Linked DNA regions of Styela clava. The protein of the gene in region 1 interacts with the protein of each later gene in a biochemical or structural test. Links are inferred from orthologs where the notes say so. Each region holds a gene or a part of one and is shown on either strand. Other genes may lie near its edges. The genes, in order: MLX-interacting protein-like and max-like protein X.

What was found.
Region 2: the proteins of MLX-interacting protein-like (region 1) and max-like protein X form a complex in vitro, tested with the Homo sapiens proteins (2 studies listed by BioGRID, with this or other methods). The link is inferred for Styela clava from reciprocal best matches to the Homo sapiens genes MLXIP and MLX.

Annotation. Positions count from the first base shown.
Region 1 is NC_135255.1:14,831,797-14,843,736, forward strand, and holds the start of MLX-interacting protein-like, read left to right. Parts: upstream 1-6,620; 5' UTR 6,621-6,886; coding exon 6,887-6,938; intron 6,939-7,933; coding exon 7,934-8,106; intron 8,107-8,720; coding exon 8,721-8,815; intron 8,816-9,107; coding exon 9,108-9,214; intron 9,215-11,914; coding exon 11,915-11,940. UniProt on the Homo sapiens protein: Binds DNA as a heterodimer with MLX and activates transcription. Binds to the canonical E box sequence 5'-CACGTG-3'. Plays a role in transcriptional activation of glycolytic target genes. Involved in glucose-responsive gene regulation.
Region 2 is NC_135253.1:16,288,122-16,299,176, forward strand, and holds max-like protein X, read right to left. Parts: upstream 4,278-11,055; 5' UTR 3,933-4,277; coding exon 3,718-3,932; intron 3,124-3,717; coding exon 2,613-3,123; 3' UTR 2,277-2,612; downstream 1-2,276. Other genes in the region: uncharacterized protein LOC120326434, read right to left, coding at 127-299, 578-692, 1,495-1,698; uncharacterized protein LOC120325823, read left to right, coding at 5,722-5,781, 6,147-6,275, 6,798-6,914, 7,337-7,429, 7,787-7,910, 8,511-8,728, 9,508-9,731, 10,407-11,055. UniProt on the Homo sapiens protein: Transcription regulator. Forms a sequence-specific DNA-binding protein complex with MAD1, MAD4, MNT, WBSCR14 and MLXIP which recognizes the core sequence 5'-CACGTG-3'. The TCFL4-MAD1, TCFL4-MAD4, TCFL4-WBSCR14 complexes are transcriptional repressors.

The DNA.
Region 1 (11,940 bases):
AAAGTGTGTATCTGTAGTCAAAGCGTGATTTTCAATAAAACTAAACCCCGAAAATTTCCGCGCATACATTTCTCAGGATAAACATTTTTTGGCCTCGAAACGAAAGCACTTCAATAATAACGGTATAATGGAAACAAGTGCGACACGTGAAACACCAGATATGTACAGCGGTGTTGACACTATCAGCTTTGCGATGATAAAATAACGTATCAAGCCAGTTATCCGCCATTCAACCCAAAATTATCACGGATTATTCGCAACCGGGATATTTTGAATTTTGTTATCACTGTTGGACTTTAAACAGTCGAAACACAATCTGAGAATTTGTGTACGAATTTGTCATCAAATCGTTATCAAAAATAAAGATATCAGTACAAACAAACAACAGTTTGGTTAAAAAGGTACATTTGTTAATATTGTACTTTGAAAACGCTTGTTAACTTTTTATTATTATCAACAGATCGATCTTGGACGAATTATGATCAACAACAGTGTTGGACGAAATTGATGAAAATGTAGACAATCATGATAAGGTGGATATTGTTGTAAGCGGTCTGGCAAGGAATTGAGTCTTCGGAGCCATATTCTTTGGTACAGTATTTTTCACTACATTGATAACAAAAGATATCCCAAAAGATTTTTGAGTTAGGAAGACTAATGCCGGAAAAGTTACTTTTTATATCAGGAGAAATGACTTTCAAAACTTGCAGCATATATTCGCGGAAAAATTCGCCTTTAACACACGGGCGATTCTTTTTAACGATGTTGCGAGCTACAATATAACTGGCCAATAACGTAAATTCACTTTTATTTAACATTTTTTTGAACATTTTTGTTTGACGTTTGTATGAATTTAGCAATGAATTAAATTTTGAAATACGCGCGTCAACTGATCATAATCTGAAGAATGCTTCGTCTCTTAATGACGGCTAATGTTGTATTCCTTCAGAACTGGAATATTTTGTTGGCCAAGAAGACAAATCGCTGAAGTTTTATTCTATTCAATAAAAAATATGAACGCTGCCATTCATCTAAAAATCGTCTGTTTTTTGTGTCTAGTTTCCGTTTTGTGACATCTTCAAGCTTTCTTAATACCGCTGATACTTAAAATACTGTCGTATGTAATCCTAATGCTGGTACGTATACAAAAGATATCGGTGTAATTGAATAGTTACGAAATACTCGTGCTTAAACTGTGATAATGGTGTAACAATTGACGGTATCTAAAACGCGAAAAGGTAAACACAAAAAGTGTTAAACGTATTAGTATTTATTTGCAGTTAAAATTCAACCATTTCACTTAAGTTCGGCGGGCCATTTCAAGCCGTTACGCGGACCGCGGAAAGTGAAATTTTAGGATTAGGTGTTCACCCCCTATAGGGGAGTGTAGGGAAATCACTGTGTTACACGCTTATGTTCTAATCTGAACCATTGCCCTGACTCCACATAGGGGAAAGTGGGGAAGGTTGGGACACTTTTTTTCTTTTTCATATTTTGAGCCCTTTATTCTGCACATTCATATGACTTTGCGGGATTAATGCAGAGAGGGGTAAATGTAGTTTGTATTCAGCGACTAAGAAATTCCCTTGCGACACACATCTTACCACCAAAATGCTTTGAAAAACGTTTGTCAAGTGTCCCACTGTACCCCACTTGTGGGGCACATTCGGACAGACCCTGGGGCACAATGGGTCATTCTGTTAAAATTCAACGAAGTATGCCCTTAAAAATAAGCAATCAATCAGCATAATCGTCTAAAGAACAGGGAGACCTCAAATTTGAAGATTTAAGATTTTTAAAATCAATGTTCAACCGAAATATTTCAGATATTTTACCAAAAAATTCGCTTACAAATTAAATTATTTTCTAATCCGAATCTAAATATGGAAATATTTTTGATTCTCGAATATATTTCATATTGGACCATGAGTCGAAAGATACCATAATGTTACATAAAAATACAACGCATCCATCCACTCGCCAACGTTTTAAATATTTCACAGTGGACTATAGCTGAAAGATATTAGACCAGTGATTCTCAAACTAGGGTTTGAGAGCCGCATGCGGCTCTTAGCAACCTTTCCTGCGGCTCTCGTTAATGCTTATTACTTATCGATCTTAAGATCGGTAAGTATATTGATAGGTATTTGTCTGTATGTATGTCTGTGTGTCTGTTAGATGCACGCGATATCTCACGAAAGCGAGATTGAATCTGCTCCAGATTTTGCATGTGCATTCATCTTATCTCGGACCAGAAGCCTATTGATTTTGGGCGAATTATGTCGTATAATTAGCGAGTTATCAATCAATTATTGATATAGTGATCTAGATTTTTGTAAAGCGAGAGAATTTTGAAACCCGCTGAGTGTGTGTGTGCGATGCGCAGTGCGCAAGTTACAAGAGCGGATGAATCGAAACTGCAGTTTCTGTTTTGGGGGATCCCCTAACTATCGATCGATAAGTCTTCGGTTTCCAACCGATATTCTCGTTGTTTATTTGCCGTGTTTATTTGCGTAACGTTGACTAACCTACAAGATGCACTAGTTACGCAACAGTAAACGTTTTCTGTAATCATTGGCTTGCTTCCATGGATTTTCAGTGTTTGTCGCATTCCCACATATTACCGGTATGTATAAATCAAATGCTCAATGATTAATTCTAGAGCATTTTAATTTTGTTCCAGTAATCGAAAATAGTCCCGAAATATCTGGCGATTATCTCAAGCAGCATCCTCCACGATTACGACCCGCTTTGACAAACTTATTAGAAATCAAAGCCAAATTAAATGGCTGTTAGTCTAGGGTGGGCAAAATCGAATCTTGTTTCGAATCGAATAATTTGAATATTTTTTATACATTTTATGGATCCAGAACATCAGAGGCCGATACACTATTTAGAAATTGATAAAAACATTGAAAAGTCGGCAAAAAAACTTTTTTTTTACTGGTTAATTTCATCATAATCACTGATTGTCACCGCGATCGTTTTGGCAGCGATAACCTAAAGTTGGTATTCTATATTCCCGCCCTTTCTCGTTTTTTTTGCAAGAATAAGCGGTCGCCGAATATCGAAGATTTATATTTCTAGTATATCCTAAAGTTCACATCAGCGACAGCTGTTGAATACATTAAGGGTTGATTTCAAAACCAAATTAATTTTATTCTGAGTTTAATCCTCTGCCTTGGATTTGATTTTCCCTATCACCTTGTAAATTAATTGTGCCTGTTTAAAGTGAACGGTAACCGAGATGCAGATATTTAAACGATAATTGAGTTTCTCATGCGTTTCTATGGTGTTCGTGTTATTTTAGTATTGGATAGATAAACCTAGCAAATTTACGATTGCGTGAATCCTGAATGTTGATTTAAAATAGCGATTAAATAAATTGACAACAAAGGCATTTCTAGGCCTTTGTGTCTAATAGAGGGTCAGACGCTAATTATACCTAATCATTCAAGTTTTAACGTTTTTTTTTCAACAAAACAACACCCCGATGGGTATTATACCTAAAATACTTTCTGAGTAATGCTCAATTTTCTTTACGGAATTTGCAAATTCAGCACTTCACCTAATGATTTTGATCATGTCATGCTATAAGGCTTAATTATTACTGCCCAAATGCTTCAAAATTTACCAATTGTAATCATTTTCGACGATAATAGACGCAACAATTCGTGAACGAGTCAGTGTGCATTGTCACAACAAAATTCACGATTGATTTTACGTTCTACTCTTGGCTCAACGGCCATGCATGGCTGAATAAAATGTTTACATATTCAAAACATTACTTGGCCAAGGATGGAAGGGATCACTAAATAGCTAATACAAAGTGCTTTGAATGGAGTAAGACATGACATTTCTTATCTGGTTACAACTTAATGAGTATTTTTCATACAAGTAACTCATACCAGCTTTCGAAAAAACTTTTGGTCATTTTTAAATCTATGCTATTTACATAACTAGAGTTTTCTAACGACCTAAAATAGCCTTTTACACAATGAAACGCTGAAAAGTCATTTTAACATTTAATTTCAATCAACTTTATGTTCGGTAATGCAAGAAGTGGCCAATGACATGACACCAAGCATGCGGAGGTTAAAATCTGAGATATTTATTTTAAATACCTAATCTGGTTTGATGTTTCTAAATTTACGGAACGGTCGGTACGTTTTTTTGCAAAATAAATATTTGAAACGATACGTCAATTGCAATGACAAGCATTTAACACCAAAACGCAAGGCAACCACTTTTCAATTTTTTTTTTCTGATAGCGAGCGCCTTTGGGAAATCTCGCACAATTTATCATTCAGGTGGAGACGCGCGAGTTTGGTGTCCAAGCAGAGCGGCGCAGGTCACGTGGTACCGGATATTCGAAAAGTAAAATTTTATTATTCGAATATTTCGACCAGCTCTAGTTGTTACGATGACTTGGTATTTTAAATTCGCGCTTTTAGGGTTTGTTGCTATTTTACCTTGCGTTGTTTGTGTGCGGCTCTTCATAACTTTGAGGTTTGAAATGCGGCTCTGGGACTAAAAAAGTTTGAGAAACACTGTATTAGACGGTGATTTGTCACGTTGAAAAGGCTAAGTTAGAAAAAAGAAAAAACCGGACCGGTGAAATTTTAGTTTCAACCCCCCAAAACCAATTTCACCTCATAGCTTGCGTCGCTCTTACCCGTCCGCTGTCCGTTTGCGGGGACGTTGTAACTCACCGAAGGGCGGATTGAAACATCAAACCGCGGACCGGATTCCGAATATGGTATTAGTGTGAGAGCTGATTTTCCACTGTGCCCCATGTCCCAACGTGCCCCACCTTCCCCTACTTCCGTTCGCGACCCTGAGATACAAACAAGCGAAGAAATAAAAAAGCAAACCCAGTTTCGTCAGGATTAAAAGAAATGACCAGAATTTTGTACATCATTAGCTTGGTAGTAGGCTACGTATATGTCTCTTTATAACATTGCAGACACAAACTATGGTATTCATTCAGAAAGTTCGCCAATACGCGTTCATTTTTATAACGGTAAAACGATTGCATTTTTTACTGCTACAAAACGACGTCTTGTGAACTGACTTCAGTGGTTAAATGTGCAACAACTGTGATTGCTTCATATCATTTTTTTAATTATAATAGGCGATATTACCTATATTTTCTTGATTTTAATCTTTGTGATCATATTTTGAGTGGGGTTTGGGACGGGAAAACGACGGTACAAAAGCGTAAAGCTACAGTTGTATCCCCATTAACAACAACCCAATAACAGAACGATTCATATGTACATAGCATGTCCAAAGACAAAGTGTGATTAGTGAGGTTAGCACCCGGTCACAAATATGACTGGAATGAGCTGTTAAACGTGCCGTCGCGCTTGCATTTTTGTTCTCATGTTTCTTGAATTAGGTTGAGTTCGGGTTGTCCCGGGGGAGATAAGACGACTTAATTATATGGCAAACCACAGTCGGTTACCAGTCCATGTTGGATATGGCACAAGTTTGCCAAAAATTCAGATGCATGGAATTGATGGTGGGGGAAGCCGTAACCGGCCAGCGGTTACGTGAACCACCCCATGGCGGCGAGGAGTTTGATGAGCAGGCGCAGAAAAGTCATACCGTATTGCAGTATATGGGTGTACAATTAGGGATTGCTAAATACGGTCGATGCGTGTCAAATCAGCGATGACAAAATACGGTCGATTCATATTGAATAAGGCTGGAGTCAGATAGTGCGCTGTATACAGATAACAGGTGAAAATTGCATCCAAATCACAGCGAAATATGGTCAATGTGTTCCCTATTTATTAAGCTGGTGTCAAGTCAAGTCTGACGAAACACGATCAACGAAACACGAAACACGTCTGACGAAACACGAAACACGATATTTTTAAAATGCAAGGCAACATGATTGGCTGACTAGTGTCTAGTGTAGTTTCGTACCTGAAGCACTACTAGTGGGCGTAGCATAACAATTTTTGCATATGTTAATCCTAACCCCCACCTGACTGCGCCATCCAAAAATTACGTCATTGTAACGTCACAGTGACGTAACAGAGCCCTTCGAACCATACCAACTGTCAACCACTATAGATCCAAGACGCACAGAAGATCACCCGAAATATAGCAAGCTATTTCTCTCGTTTTCTTGTCGTAACGATCCCGATATGCGAGTTCTTTATCGTCGGCGCCGATGCCATTCCGGCGATCTTAGGTATACTTTGGCAAGCTCTATGAGTGATTTTGACTTCGTGCCTTCGTGGTGAAATTGATAATTTTGTTAATATGTTGCATCATGACATATATATTCCGTGCCAGTAACATAGGTCTGTAGGTACCCAGTGGCCAGTGCAGTGTATAGTGCATTGCAATTTATGATTGGGATCTGGTTAACTATAGTCTGATAGTAGTCTACTGTAGTAGGATTCCAAATCTTTTAGGCATTTAATTCCTAATGAGGCTTTGACCAACCAGACTCTACTTTAGATTAATTAGATATACTAGATAATCAGAAACTGCTCGTATGCTTACGCAATTTATTACACATTTTGAGAGGTGGTATGCAACAGTGCAAAGGGTTTGAACAGAATATTTCTAATTTCCATGCTAAACTGTTGCCATATTTCAGATGTTACTATCATTTTATGCATTCAAATGCACATACTTACAAATGATATTCTAATATACCACTAATTAATCTTGAGAAACTGTGAATTTGTAACATAGAACATAAGATTTTTACTTGGATTATTGGACACTATGTTGGATGTAAACAAGCGTACTAAACACAATATTGAATCGATATGGATTAACATAATACATTTGGCAAATACTGGAAAAGAACTCTCTTTGTGAAAACATCATCAGATAACACTCTTCTCGGTATTACTTCAAGATGGAGGGTATGATTGCTCGCCGCTCACAAATGAATTTGAGGGAACGTAAAGGTTGGATTACATTTTATTCGTGGATTGTCATAGCAAAGCTACTGGATTTATGTTATGGTATAAGATATTGCGATAGGATGAGTTACGATGCTCTCGCACCTCTGATTACCCTGCGCGGGTTTGCAGGTTGGTGCGAGAGTATTGCTGGACTCCTCCTCGCAGTAGTGTGGTTCATGTAATCAGTTGGTCAGTTATGGCTTCCTATACTATAAAGTCCATGCATCTGTACTCCTGTTATACTAACTAGCCTAATCCATTAATCCAGTCATGGCTGTGGTTCGCCATATGATAAAGTCGTCTTATAAATATGTAAATCGTATCCTATGCTAAATAAGTCAAGGAAGAAAAACATCCAACAGTCGAGTGTAAATTATAATGGAAGTAAAAATGGAAAGTGCATTTTATCACTAAACATGCCAATGATGAAATCTAACCACTGGTATCAGATGAAAATGATGAAACAAAATTTTAGATGCTTATATGGCATTGGAGATACTGAATAGCCTATGTAAAGTTAACTTTTGGTTCAAGAACGTATTATAGGTACCGATATATATATGATATCTGATGCTAAATCAGTTTTTGCAACTCATTGTAATAAATAATAATCTAAAATAAATTGTGATTATGGTTTTCCAAAATAGTGTTTTTAATTCATATAATTGCTTATCTGTTATTTTGCACTCGTCAGACTAATATTTTCACTGCATAAAGAAAAATATAGCAATAAACTAATCACATATTACTAATTATACTATTAACATATGTACAGATTTAGAATGTAGCCAAATCCACACCATTAGCTTCAAAAATCAAATATTAAAATCGGTCAAATTTCAATATAAAAATACAATTACAATATATTTAATTTTTTTTTATCTTCAAATTTAATCGCAATTGACATTGAATATGAATTATTAATAAATGAATAATTTTGAAATTAAATTTGCTAAAATTATTTTAATTTAAATGATGGAATTTATTTTTATTCAAAGCTGAGAGCAATGGAGAAGTAATCCACTCAGGACATTTTATGATATCATCTGTAGCAGATCAAGATGATGTTGATGATGACGTTCCCCACGACAGAGATTCTCCGGTACATCATGATCAAGCTATCAGAATACGTGAAGGATATGATTTTTCGGATGTTCGGAAGGAAACACAGGTATAAAATAGCTTCTTTATCGGTTCTAACGGTAAATTTTTTAAAATTCTCGTATTTTGACCGAATGCTAGCTAAAGATGTTTGTGTTAAAAATAAGGTTGAATAGCCCCTTAAGCATACTACATTGTGTAACACAATTATAATTCCTGACTTATAATTATTATATTCTAATTACCGTAGTTATGAACCATAATTGGAGAAAAGTGATTTTTTCAATGTACATGTTAAAAGCTATCAGGAAATCTGGGCAAAAATCTGGAAAATTTTATTATACAGTATTAATAAATTTGATTATTTGAAGCTAAGCCAATCCACAGTTGATGTAGGTTGGAAAAACAGGATATGGAAACCTTCAGTAATGTTGTTTCTATTTTATGCTCAAAAAAGTATTGAGAATGGCAGCAATTATGTTTGTCTGCTATAACAATAACATTAATACCTATCGCATATGTAATAAAAATTAATCAAAAAAATTTTTTTAAACAAGATTTCAGCATTGATCTACTTTCTGTATTTATTTTCAAAATTTCATTTTAGTAGTGGAAGGTATTTTCAATGATAAGTATAGACTTTTTGTATCGTTGCCGTAATTATCTTATTGTAAATATTTGTAGAATACCTATCAGTTTGGACATCGTTCAACAAATCAAATTACTATTGATGCGTCACTATCAAGATTATTTGAATGTATGTCATTGGCATATAGAGGGTGAGTCCCATATCAGACTTCTATTCCATTTTGAGATCAGATCTCAAATTCTAATATAAAATGTAGAATATGGCTGAAATAATAGTCATCTGCTAGTAGACCAGATTCTATGATATAAATTTTTTTTAAAATGTAATTCAGTGTTTTTGAACAAGCTTCATTCTTTTTCAAAACTAAAGTGTCCACCTGATTAACTTATAAAGCAAACATTTAGATCTATTTAATGAACAAATTTGTAGAATGAAATGAAAATGTTGGGGCTTGCTTTTATTTCCACTTTTTTTGATTTTAGAGGGAAAGTTGTTTCACCGAAATGGAAGAATTTTAAAGGTTTACGTCTCTCTGTGAAAGATAAGATTCGATTGAATAATGCTATATGGAGAACATGGCACATTCAATGTAAGATATAAATTTGCCTAATACTAATTCGTAGTCTGTAAAAAGATGCACAAAAGTATCAGTTGCGTTGTCTTTATGCACCTTGAAATCATATATCAGTATACATGAATTAGAAATACTTAAACTTATTGCCAAAATTACATGACCATATTTTGTTGAGATGGTTGTTTATTTCAGCCTTCTTTTGTGGATATAAATACTACATACATTATGCTATGTCCTGCAGCAAAATTCTGCTAAGCTTTTAATTTTTAACAAAAAATCTCTGCAACATCGCCAACATGTGTTGTGCAGCAGAAGAAAAGAGTCATTGACACAAATTATATAATGTATTTCAGACTTTATTCCAAACATTTTATTATAACACAATGTATACTTATAACACAATGCATGTATACCGGTGTGTTAGGTTCATTAGAATAATCTATTGATAAAGCATAAAAAATTATGTACTTATTATCATTGGGAAATTAGTATCAACTCGTCATTATGAGCTACAATCACCAGTCTGCAGAATCTTTGTTATCGATATAAACTTTCGATAATGATTGACCAATAGCTGCAGGGGGTGTGGCATCACTTAAAAGTTTTTACAGCTAACATTCATATTATTACGGTCAGTTTCAAATTGGTTCAATTTTGTTTTGAAAACTGGTTTATGAAATTCCTTCTCCTAATTTTACGACAATGACAATGGCTTCTGTCATTTTATATCATTTTCCAGTTTGATAGTCTCAGTTCTATTCATTTTGATTATTATACAGGACAATTTTATGTGATAAACTAGCTGAGTTGCATAAAATTTGAAAATAAAAGTAAATGGCCATAAAGGTTTATCACATAGATAAAAAGAAGAACAAACAGCAGTTTCTCACAATTCACATTGTTTATAGAGTAAACAATAGATATGAGGTTGCGTATTTTTGAAAATATACAATCTTATATTGAGAGATATTTAAGCAAGCAAATAGTTTTTGAATAGTCTTTCAAAATTCATTTGTGTAATTATTGAATTGTTTTTGATGGATGTTTTTCATGGGAGTGCTGGCATAACAGCTGCATCAAACACGAGTTCGTCTGAGTTTACATTCAAATGAGTTTGTTCTTTTACCTACATGTTATTGATTTTCCACTCGACAATGGAATAGTACTACTGTGAAGCTCGTTAGAAATACCATATTTACATATTTACAGAAAAAGAAATACCATATTTAAAAAATTTTTTTTTAATTTTAAACAATCCTAAAAACACCATGATAGTTCCTTTAGTATTGGTTAATATTTTAATTTCGAGAATGAACTCTCAGCTTGGTAGTTTTGTCACGTCAGATTTTGTCTGTGCCTTAAGGCCATGATTACTACCACATTGTATTCTCTTTTACTTGGATTAATTATTACGGAACCAGAACTCGTTATTATTGTTAACCACCCAATTTGGAGCAAAGGTCACATTTTTTTTAAATTTTGTTATTAAAATTACTGTAACACAACTTTCTAGCCATAGATGCATTCTACTGACATCCATGGCCATGTTATATATTGCATATTTTCTTACTTATACAAAACATGTTGTTTTGTGGTGTCTGCGGTTTAGATTGGAAGTTGTGCAATCCTGCAACTACTCTAATGCCAACTGGTATGTTTTGTAAATTGTAATATAATTACATATACTTCTGAAATCAGCATTATCACAAATTGCATCATGTTTTGCTTATGTCTACACGTGTTCAGTAGGCTAGTGCATAAGTTGCCACCCATTATTACCTCATTGGTATTTTTATATTTCCAAGCATGGTTTTTTATTTTGTTTTTCTCAAGATTGCTCATCTTAGCAGAGTACTCAATAGGCAACCTTTTGCAAATAGGAATTAAACGTGTTTTTTTAAATTTATTCGCACTTGAAAGAGATTAACATAAATTTATGTGAATCTCTTTCAAGAGCGGATAAATTCTAAAAGATTCATAATGCAGCCATTAACAATGTTCGCTAAATTGACTATTGAGTGTTACACATATTTCGCGTTGAACAAGTAAATTGAATATTCAAAAACAACCCCAGTTACATTTATTTAGAAATGATTTTACAATTTCTTTTTCAAAGCCATTCTTGTAGTTTTAGTCCTATCAATATGCTTTTTCTTGGTTGTTCAAATTTGGATCTCACATCATATTTGCTCAGATTTGAACTTGCGTTACTAATGAAATGTATATTCAATTAAACATTCAAATAATGAAATATGATCTGAACATTCTGAAGCTATTTGGTTGATTTGTTCCCAACCTAATGCTCCTTTCTTTCTTTTACAAAACTTTTGGACCAGTCAGTGTAGATTCGTTTTGGTTTAGAAAAATGATGAGATACTGCTCTAAAAATTTGTTCAAATTAGGCTGTATATATCTTCTTTGTGGAAATAAAATTTAACTGAATGAGACGAAGATGCCTTTCATATGTTTTTCGTTTAATATTTTATTTAAATCATTCTTCGAAAGATATTTTGGAAAAACCTGACTTGCCAATCAAACTACTCATAATAATTCCACTTGATGTTTGGATTTTGTGTTTGTGTACTTTTGGGACTTTAATGAGTGTCAACCAATATAGTTTTTAAGAGGTTTTATCGGACTTTAGGCTCCCTAGTTTTTTCGAAAAACAAAACGATTCCAAATTTCCAATAGTTCATCACTAATATTTGTTTGCAGATATCATGAGAAAAAGACGCAGCAAA
Region 2 (11,055 bases), on another chromosome or scaffold:
GCGATTTTTTAAAAATGGAGACGGAGACAAATAACAATAACAACAAAATTTTGAAACGATCGTTATGTCCACTTCGTGTCCAAAAAGAACTTTTTAAATGACTTGTAAAAAAATCTATGTGTCTACCTCTTCTGGAGCATTTTGTGGTGGTTGAAACTTTTTCAGAACTTCCTCAGCCAGAACAGACATGTATTCTCCTATTCCAGTAAACATGATTGCAAACAAAGGAATTCCAATTAAAGCATAAAATATGCAAAATATCTGACTGTACCATTGTGTTGGGGCAAGGTTTCCATAACCTGAAAATATAGAATTACCGTAATGATTAAAACTTTCATTGTCCGTATGAGATTTGTAGATTTGCATTAAAAGTTAAATATTTTAAGCACAAATCAAAATTACCTTCCTGGTTGGGAAATGCTGGTTTAAAAAATGTTTAACAAAGTGTTTGAGAATCTGACAATGTTGGTATAACAGAATAAAATAATATCGACATTTTCAAGATTTATAATTCATAGGTTGTGAGAGCAGAGTTCAGATATTTTTGAGAAAAATAGTATAAATTAGCAAATCATACCAATGGTTGTGATGATGGTTCCTGTGAAGAACAATGAACTTTGAAAATCCCAATTTGCTGGACATTTGACATTACCCTGCAGACTAATACCATGACCAGAAAATATGGTGACATTCTAGGAAATACAATAATAATAAACGTGAGAATGAAATTTTTTTATTTGATAGGTGGCACAGCCACAAAGAGTTGCACGGAATGTTCCCAGCTCTTTCATCAGGGCAGCTACAGATGTAGCGTTACCAATAACAGAACTGGCCCAGTGGCAGGGTTGAAGGACATAGTTGAAGACCAGCCTGGTATTTTATTATCTGATTTTTTTTTTTAATTACAAAATATATAAATAAAACAGGATTTTCTTTGAAATATTTCGAATTACCTACCAGCAAAGCTTATCACTTATGTATAAACAAGCTGAACAAAACAAATGAATTATAATCGGTGGACTAAGTACCAATTATTTATTACTTGAGAGCCCTCTGGAGGTTCACACCTAAAAAGCCTGCATACTATGTAATATTACCCTGAATTTGCATATTTTACGGTCGAAATATCTGAGTTTTCAAAAAAATATCCTTCCCGATGGCAGGAATTTAGAATCAGGCATTACTTAATCAAAAGCCTCTAAAAGCACAAAAACACTATTATTCCTGAGTTGACGATTATGGCAATATTACCCAAAAACTTTTTTTGTCATGTATATTTAGCCCAAACATAAACCATATATGAATTGAAAAATTTTGAAAGGCAGTATGCTCACCAATAATAATAATCGCAACATATCAGGTAAAGCAAAATTCTTCTCTGAAAAGCACTACTATGAACATTCATACCGATAACAACAATAAAGATATACTCTCTATAAAAGAGCTGATATTAAGAATGAATTTTGTAGTTTTAGAGTCAAATTAACATCTAACCTTAATAAACTTGTTTAAAGTTTCTTCTGTAAAACCTTCATTATTACGTGTTTGATTCAACCATTTTTCTTTAAATTGTTTTGCATCCTTGCATCGTTGTTTTTCCACTGGTCTTTCCATAGCCATGAATACCGCAGCACCAATAATCATATACACAAAATAGAATACAATTAATAAAATCAAAACGCGTATTCTCATCAACATTCTGAATTGGGTTATCCTACCACATTTGACATGAAAATTAACTCCGTAAGTACACTACATTTCCCGATCGCAACTGCCCATGCATATTGTCTATACTTCCATATGCTGCACTGACTAATTGTTTCGATAACACAATGATAGGAAGCTCCGCTTCTGGTACATAATTAATTTGTCTAGAAATGCTATTGTCAGTGACGTAAGAATTTTTGTGCATTGCGCAACATTCCAACTTTTACAGTGGTTTTATGAATTAGTATAATGCATAATATGAATTGATAAGCCAACTACATTTTTCTTTCCTCCATTTCCACTTATCCTTTAATTAAATGCACATCACTACAAAATGATCACAATCATAATAATTGTCCAATAAAGTACTGTACTTTCTCCTTAAGTGATTTTCCAGAAAACCACGTCACAATGATGGAACTGTACCTTATCTCATTATAAGAAAACAACTTGCAATTTATAAGTCGTAAAATTCAAGCAGAATGATATATTACTTAAACGCAAGATTATATTTGTGATAATTAATACAAAAAATTAAATCATTATTAAATAGGTATTTAGGCACACTACATTTAAGAACATTTTCATCAACAAGAAATTATCTATTGTAAATCATATCTTGAAGAAAGGGACTCGATATGACAAAAAATAGCATGAAAATCATTATTTCTGACAAGTCAACTTTTTAAATTGGATCAACTCGAAAATTAAGGAAATATGACTCGGGGGATTCACAGACTTCTACACAAACTGGTAACCAGGATCTTCATTTTTTTTCAGTAAATATAATTATTTTTAAGTGAAACTGGTGAAAACGTTTGCTCGGTATCAGTATAACAAAGTCAATAAGATGCAACAAGATTACATATTATATGCTTTTCCTGTAAGAAAATGAAAAGGAAAGATCATCGCAATTGTGGATTCAACTGCTTTAAAGTATCGATTACAATATCTCGTAATGATTGTGGAGTACATTGTTCTTCAATCCAACTAAATACACAATGGGACAGTTCTTGAAAACTAGCCACGGATATTGATGAATTAAATGAAACAAAAAGAGTATCCATGATTCTTTGAAATACTTCAAATTTTACTTGATCTGACAATTGGTGATTGGAGTTTGCTGGGTTTGATTGATGAGCTTTGACTATTTGCTCATAATTTGATTTCATAATCGATAAAGATTGTTCTTTTTTACGAAGTTTTTCCAAATCTTCTGTCTGTTTCTTTCTCTCTTTTTCCAGATATTCTATGTAATCAATTGATCTTTGAAGCATAACAGCCTTGCTGACTTTTTGTGATCCTACGGTTTCTGAGTGAAGTTTGGGGACGAGCGTTTGAAGCTCGTCATATCCTTTCTTTATGTTGTCTCTCCTACGTTTCTCAGCGAGTGTGTGAGCTTCTCTTCTTTTTTGCCTGTATGCGAAAAAATAACTACATGATCGAGGAAGTTCCGCTTTGCAATAAATAGTCGAATAGTCATATTTTTCTTTCCCAAATCGATGAAGTTTACATAAAGTACAAAAACTTTTTCTGCTACGTTACATGCATTGTTGAGTAAATGGAGTGAGTATATGGAAAATTGACTCTGACAATAATTCAACTCTGATTCTGGTTTGCAAAAAATTCCCATTCCGATCCCAGAAATAAATTTTTGGTGTAAACCAGCATCTTTTATTAATAGACTGTCAGTAAAATAAAATGAAGAAATTTAGACTTATTTTATCACCATTGAAATTTTGCAATTCCGACTCTGAATCTGGGGAATTCAGAATTTTGACACCTGCTCTAGAGAAAATATGGGGAGCTCTCGACTCCGCTGCCCTGGTTACATGTATATAGTTATCATAAGCTATTGTATCACCACATTTGTGGCAGTATGATCATGTATAAACAAACTATAAAATGTTCATTACCGTGTAATGTTACATTATAAACAAACTAAATTATAAATATAAATACAAAAGTTTACTATTCGAAGATGTAACTATAAGTAACATAGCAATTTACCTGAACTTGAGCGGGCGTTCAGAGCTGTCATCATCTTCATCATCTGTGTTATGAACTGACGAAGCAGCACTTGATGGATTAGAAAAATGCAGACTTGAACTATGGTTCGGAGATGCCAAATCTATTTCCAACTTGGCACCATCAGAATCGCTAATCTGATCATAGCTTGAATCCATGAAACTTGATGAAGCAGACGAAAATCCAGAAGAATTCATGACTCATTTAAAATATCTATCACTACAGTATAAAAATTGTCTGTAGTCTGTTGCTGTATTCAGGTATTGGAAACGTAACACAATAATCTGATAATAGAATAATAAAAAAGGTTGCCGACCAACATATTTTGCATAATACCGTGTTTCCCCGAAAATACATAAATAAGACCTAGCCTGAAAATAGGATCTAGGCTAAATTTTAAAAATAATTTTAATATAAAAACCTAAAATAAGACCAAGTCGATAGCGCGAATTTTTTCTTAAATAAAAATGTGTTAGTTATAAGAAAATGAATATCATTTTCATATTTTTCATATTTGAAAATCTCGTAATTCTCTACTTTGTAATTTTGTTTTCGAGGAATAAAAATAAAAAACCATCCCCCAAAATAAGCCGTTATGTTTCGTAAGAAAATTGAAATAAGACATGGTAGCAAACCGCCTTACAATATGGCACACTTACAGACTTAGTTGATGAGTATGGTACCAAGAAGCACTAAATTTAGATCAAGGTTTCTACTAACAACGGGAAAATTCCCCAATACAGCAGTATGTTGCAGTAAGAAAAGAAATTCACTGTTTTGGAAGACTGGAAGAGGAAATATTACATTACATATTTATTCACACATTATAACTATTACTGTATTATGAGCAATTCAAACCTTACGGCAGTACGGTACAGTTATAAAAAGTGTGAGTGTTAATTACGCATATTACAGTATTCAGGTATTTCTAGCCTACCCAACTTGTTTTGTTAAATTTCTCCTTTCGCAGCTTCGCCTTTTTTGGAATTGTTTATTCTTCCCTCACTCATTCACTGTTTACTCTTTCCTACCTAACGAGGAATTCCTCCCGGTATGCCTGTTGGGAAACGCAACCCAATTCAACTTGGCTAGTACGATTACATAATTGGAAACAGGTTAAGCACTCTCGACCGCCATTCCAGGCTGCAGAGCAACTATTTGCTGGCTAAGGAGAAAGGGCAGCATCGTATCTTATCGTTGCGCCACAGGCGGCTGCCTTAGCGCCGGTGATAAACCGATTGATTTTAGTCAAACCGTAAATGTCAAACAACAACCATCTTCCTGGAATTTCACACAAAAATCAATCATTATTCAGTTTATCAATCAATGTGAAAAAATACGGGATATTTATTGAGCGATATTCGTTTTCAGTGTTTCAAAAATGAAAATATGAAACATACATAAATATATGGAATACAAGCAAAAACTTAAGTTACCCTTTTTATCAAATAGACTACTCCAACTTTTGACATTGGATATTTCATCGCAGTAAATGATGCAACTAAAACATAATAAAGTAACCGAGAAGTCAAGCATAGGCGCTATCTATGTTCACCACTTCTGAATTTCCTAAGCGATGAAGTTATAGACTACTTTCATTCAAGGCGATTTCAATCATTTTACTGAATTTTATCCTATATTACAGCCACATACTATTCATGATTTATCAAAAAAAAAAAAAATTATGACATCACAAACGGGAACACAGCTCCCTTTTTGTCGATTTTTATGAATGAATCGATGACGTCATATGATGAATGCTACGCATCGAGTCATACAGTTGTTACGGACGCTGTTTGAAGTAAACTATCACCAATACTGTATTTTAACAGTATTTTCTGACAAAAAATGGCCGTGATATTCGAAATTACGAATGATTCAGCAATCAAGCAACGAACAGTTGGAAGTTTAGTGATCGTGGTTCTGGAGAAGTAGTGAAATACTGAAAATAATCAAGTCTTTTATGTAGGAATAAAAATAAACAATATGGATTCCATTGTTCCTACTCAGTCGTTGCAAGCTATATTTACTCCAATACTATCACAGGTGCAGTGTGAATTTTCTGTTTTTTAGGATCCTGTATAAATCCAAAAACCCAGAATTTTAAAGTATCAGTGATGAGCAGTGTTTGCGAGGCTTGAGTCATTGACTCGAGTTGCACTCAAGTGACCTTTTTTAAAAGATTTTAAGTGACTCAGGTCCTCTAAATATAATGACTCGGACTCGTCATCAGCTAACCATCAGTAAGACTCAGTATTGACTCGAATCAAGATTCCGACCCATGATTAGCAACTTGGGGTTTATGGACTTTTACCTCACTTCATCACCAATGGGAAAAATGGTTTGAAAAAGTACTGATTTAGTCCTGTTGTTACTGATTTTCGGTTAACATAGACATTAATACTTTTCAGATCACTGAATTGTTGATTGTGACATCTGAAAAATATGAGTCAGAGACATCAGGAGGGTCGATAAATATTTTACGACCATTGGTTTCTATGTCAGAAGACATTGTTGAGAGTTTAAAAGACTTGACAACGGTATTCAGTTTTGTATTTAGTGTCATTGATTTGCATTGTGATTGCAACGACTGCTATATGTCAGCGCCCAATGTGGCAAATTTCATGTCAGATCTCCAAGCCATTCTCGCGACTATCACAGATTTGATTTATCCTTTGTCTATCGTCAGATAAACTTCTTTCCTATTCGTGAAATAAAATAAATTTATTCTGTTAAATATTAACGTAGTTAAAGCATTTCGAAGTTTGACAAGAGTCATGAACAAGGCATTCCTCGAAAGGTTTTATTAAATCAATTATGAAATCTTTGAGTTGTCATTTATTAGAGATAGGGTGGGTGTTTCAATAGTCATGTGTAGAGGAACGTCGCAAAGCAGTTCAACTTTATAAGACCAACTATATAAGACCTGTGCCTAAAAGTATTGTAAGGCACCAGGTTTTTTTGACTTAATAGGTACCTAATACTGGATAATAATCATTGGTAATGGTTTGTATATTTGTATTTTTTATATTAATTAAAAATTTTTTAATAATTTCCTGTAGGTTTGCCAACAAACTGTGACACTGGAATATGCGAAGGATAATGTTGTAAAGAAAGAAATAGATTGTGGGTCTCAGAATCTACTTGTTGCCGGAGAAAGTTTAGTTCTGTGTTGTCATGTATGTTGTTTTATTATTGTATAGGAACTCTATCGATTATATTTCATTGCCACACTTAAATATGTCAAGAAGAATCCGCTTAAAAGGAATAGTTTTTAAAAAAAAGATCATCTGATTCTGAATCGTCGTCTTCAACATATTGAGAATGTAACTGCGATTAGTATTAGTAATGTCCAAAAATTGCATCTGCAAAAAATTGGAAATATAGTTTGAGAATGGAACATAATTTTCAAAAAAATCAGATAATCAAACTGAATATTTTTGTTGTGGATGTTATTAATAGATACAATTTATGTCAAATTTTACGAACTATAAATTAGGATGTATTTTTAAATAATGTAAGATTTTTTGCAGTATTGAATGATTTTCCATAGAAGTGTAGAAGTCATAATACTGAAATCTGATTGATATTATTTCTACAGATATTGTGTTCGGCTACAAAACCTGATTACCAGCTAAAAACACCAGTTCCTTATCAGAATGATGTTCCTGGATGTCTTTCTGAGTTGAATCAAGTAAGTTTTTGGCTAATTTTGCTCTATCTACCGTAATGGTTGTCTGAGAAAGTGAAAATTAAAACTTCTGGTATTATATTAATGCACTCAGGATGAAGTTTTTATTTTTTTGTGGATATTCGCGCAAAGCGAGTTTGTGTGCACTCGCAGAAGAAAAACGAGACTGATATCCAAGCAAAATTACGAGTGATTACATAACCTAAATTTTATGCTTGTATACAATTGATATTGAAAAGCTTTCGTAACATATTATCCCTTCTTTGTTGCTGTGTTCAATAGCCAATATATTATACAACATACTACTGACTGATACATAGACTGGCATCACTTTTTTAATGGAATCTCATTTTGTCACAGTGTATGATGCATTTACTTCTTTCTATTGATGATGCTGAAGTTCGAAAAATTGCAAGTTATGGTTGGTCCACTTCTGAATGTCTTGCAACTCTTGCTACTGCTGACACATTGCAAAATTTGAATGGTATGTATGTATGGTTATTTGTATTCACATATATAATATAGAGAGGAAACACAGAAATATGATACAAATACTCAACTCGGCGTATATGACTCGACAAGCACATGATTGATCCAAGTATTGGGAATACATTTACTATTACACATGTGATTACCCTGTGTGGGATCGTAGGTTCAAATCTTGTAAGAGATAATCATATGCGAGAAGATTGTTGGACTCCTCGCTGTTGTGGGGTGGTTCACATAACCATTTGCCAAACAAATACCTAGTTAATATTCTCCTAAATGACACTACTACTAGTAACCGGACGGGAGTCCGTGGTTTGCCATATGATTAAGTCGTCATATAAATAAAATGTAGGATAAATGTGAAAATTCTACAATACACGACATTGCTGAACTAAGACAAAGTTTTACGATGTGTAGTTCAAAATTGGTGTCGCTTCTTTAGTATGCTCGTTTTATTGCTTTTTTCAGTTCATGGTGCATACAAGATTTTTGATATTACAAATAAAAGATTATGTTAATTTTGAGATATCGAAAAATTCTAATACTTACGGTAAAAGTAGAATAATCACATCAAATATGTTTATTCATATTTCAGATAAGTTCCGAAGCTTTGCTATTCCTGCAGCTGATCTCCACAGAGCTGCAAGTGCAAGATGCAACGACTTATTGGATGATAAATTACAATACAAATTGAAATGTTCTTTGTCAACTTTAAGACAATCTCTTCCCATGCTAACAGCAGCGTTGCAAATGGCAATTAGATATCCCGACAATGATGAAGTATTAAAAGGCAGAGATTTCTGTGTAGAACAGGTGAATAGATATAAAAATTTTATGTGTTGACTAATTGACTTCTAGGGTTTAACTTCTGTACCTAATTATACCTGCTGTTTTATATGTGGCACAAGTCAATTCATATTTATCCCGGGGTAGAAGAGAGTCGACAGGATTTCGCCGTCATAGAGCGAAGCAAAGTCCATGTCGTATGTATACTCTTTTCAGATACATGGACTTGATAGTGAAGAAAGTCATAATGAAACATCAGTTGAAACATGAAACATCCCCCCCTCCTCAATGACGAGTAATCCAGCAATCCCGATTCTCATAATTATTCCTCACAATATTTGAACCTACGAATCTTCGATTATGGTACGATGCTAGTGATGTTTCAGTGTCGGCTTGTAAGTCTTCCATCGGTAATATATTGGGTTAGATAGGGCTAAATATCTTGCTTTGACTAAACTCACAAGAAGGATATTATTTTCCATGATACTATAAAAAGCAACAGGAACAGCTGGGTGTGTGGGAATTGCACACAGTGAGAGTTCTTTGAAACATTAGTTTGTTATATAAATTTTGCGGATATGCCAAAATCTTTGTAATATGTAGATGAGGATTATTTTAGTAGAATTTTTTTGCTCTGTTTTCATAAAAGAAATATTCAATTTTATCAAAGCCTTAAATTTTTGACTGAAAGTTATTCATCTAGATTACATTAAAATTGAATGTGAAAATTAATACCTGAAACCTAAGCGAATAACGTATCTTGTAATATATTACCCAGCAACCCAATTTGGGTAATTTATTTTCAGGTCCGGAAAGCAATCGCAGACATTGTTAAAGTTATCACAACTAAAAATATTCGGAAATCATTTTTACCTGGTACGAAAATTGGTTTATTTTATGAAAAGTTGAATGAAATCAAAAAAATGTTGTCAGCAGAAAACAGGAAGAAAATGAATTTGATGAACCTGCATACCAGTGTTGAAGGTTTTGTTCAATATGCCATGGATCTTTCTTTGACTTTAGTGAAAAGGTGAAGTATTTTGTTCAATACAGTTGAAATTGATTTTTTAGTTCAAGGTCGTAATCCAGAAGGGCAAAACTTGAAAAATCTGGTTTTAGAAAATAAAAAAACAAACATGTTTTTTTGATTTATTGCTTTACGCTATGATTAGATATCAGCCTTAATATTTTCAAATAATAATGTACAATCTGTAATCTTGTATTTGATTTCATCACTCATTTTATATTTTATTTTTTTTACCAAAACTTATGAACAAGCCAACATTTAGTTTTGTAGAACACTCCGTTGAAAAAATAGGGGAATCAATAGAAAAAACTGTGACAGCATATTTTATAGAATATTATTTTCATATTTATTCCGAGAGAGAGAGATGATAAGAAGCCTTATTCATATGGGAAACCTCAGCTTGTTCGGTCCATGTTGGATATCGGAATAGTTGCCCTGTTATTTGTCTTGGATGCATGGACTTGATGGTCGGGAAAGTCGCAAATATCTGGTGGTTATGTGAACCACCCTACGTCGTCAGGGAGTCCATCCATTCTTTCACACATATTTATTCCTCATGGGGTTCAAACCTGCAAAATCACACAAGTCAATCAGATGTGTATTTCTAACGTTTCGCATGATGCGCCAACTGCCGAGCCTGACTATACAAACTATTTTTGACCAAAGATTTATTTACAGTTCATCTCCACTTGAATTGAAATCCAATGCCATCGTGACCTCCTGCAGAAAAATGATGCGATCAATGCGTGACTTGGAGAAAGCAGATGAGGCATTACACACTCAAACTTCAATAGAAAAAAATTTGCGACAAGTTCATGATGAAAAGTGCATGTCATTGAGTGCCATCTCACAGGGCACAGTGGCAGCGATACTTCATGCTGTTACGGTTTTGGTAACGCATATATTTAGAAGTATGGATGAACCACTGGTAGAACTTATCGATAGTTGCATATCTCCTAAAACGATCACACAAGATAGCATGGACAAAATGCAACAACATAAAGAATCAGAAATTGAAAAAATAAAAGAGTTGACAAAAGTATTTTCAAAGCATACTAACGATATAACAACAGCCGCAAGGTTTGCTGCATCGTGCAGTCAACATGCAGCAGTTTATCATAAATATTCAAAAGTTTTGTTCAATTTTGATCAAACTTCAAGGGCAATCATTACAGCCACTTCTCAGTATACCAAAGACAAGAAAGACGAACCAAGCGAGGCTTTGACTCAAAATGATAAAATTTTAGATCTTCAAGACAAATGGATTATTGTACTCGGAGATCTTATTCATCTTATTGTTGCATCTTTGGATTTGAAAGGATTGCTG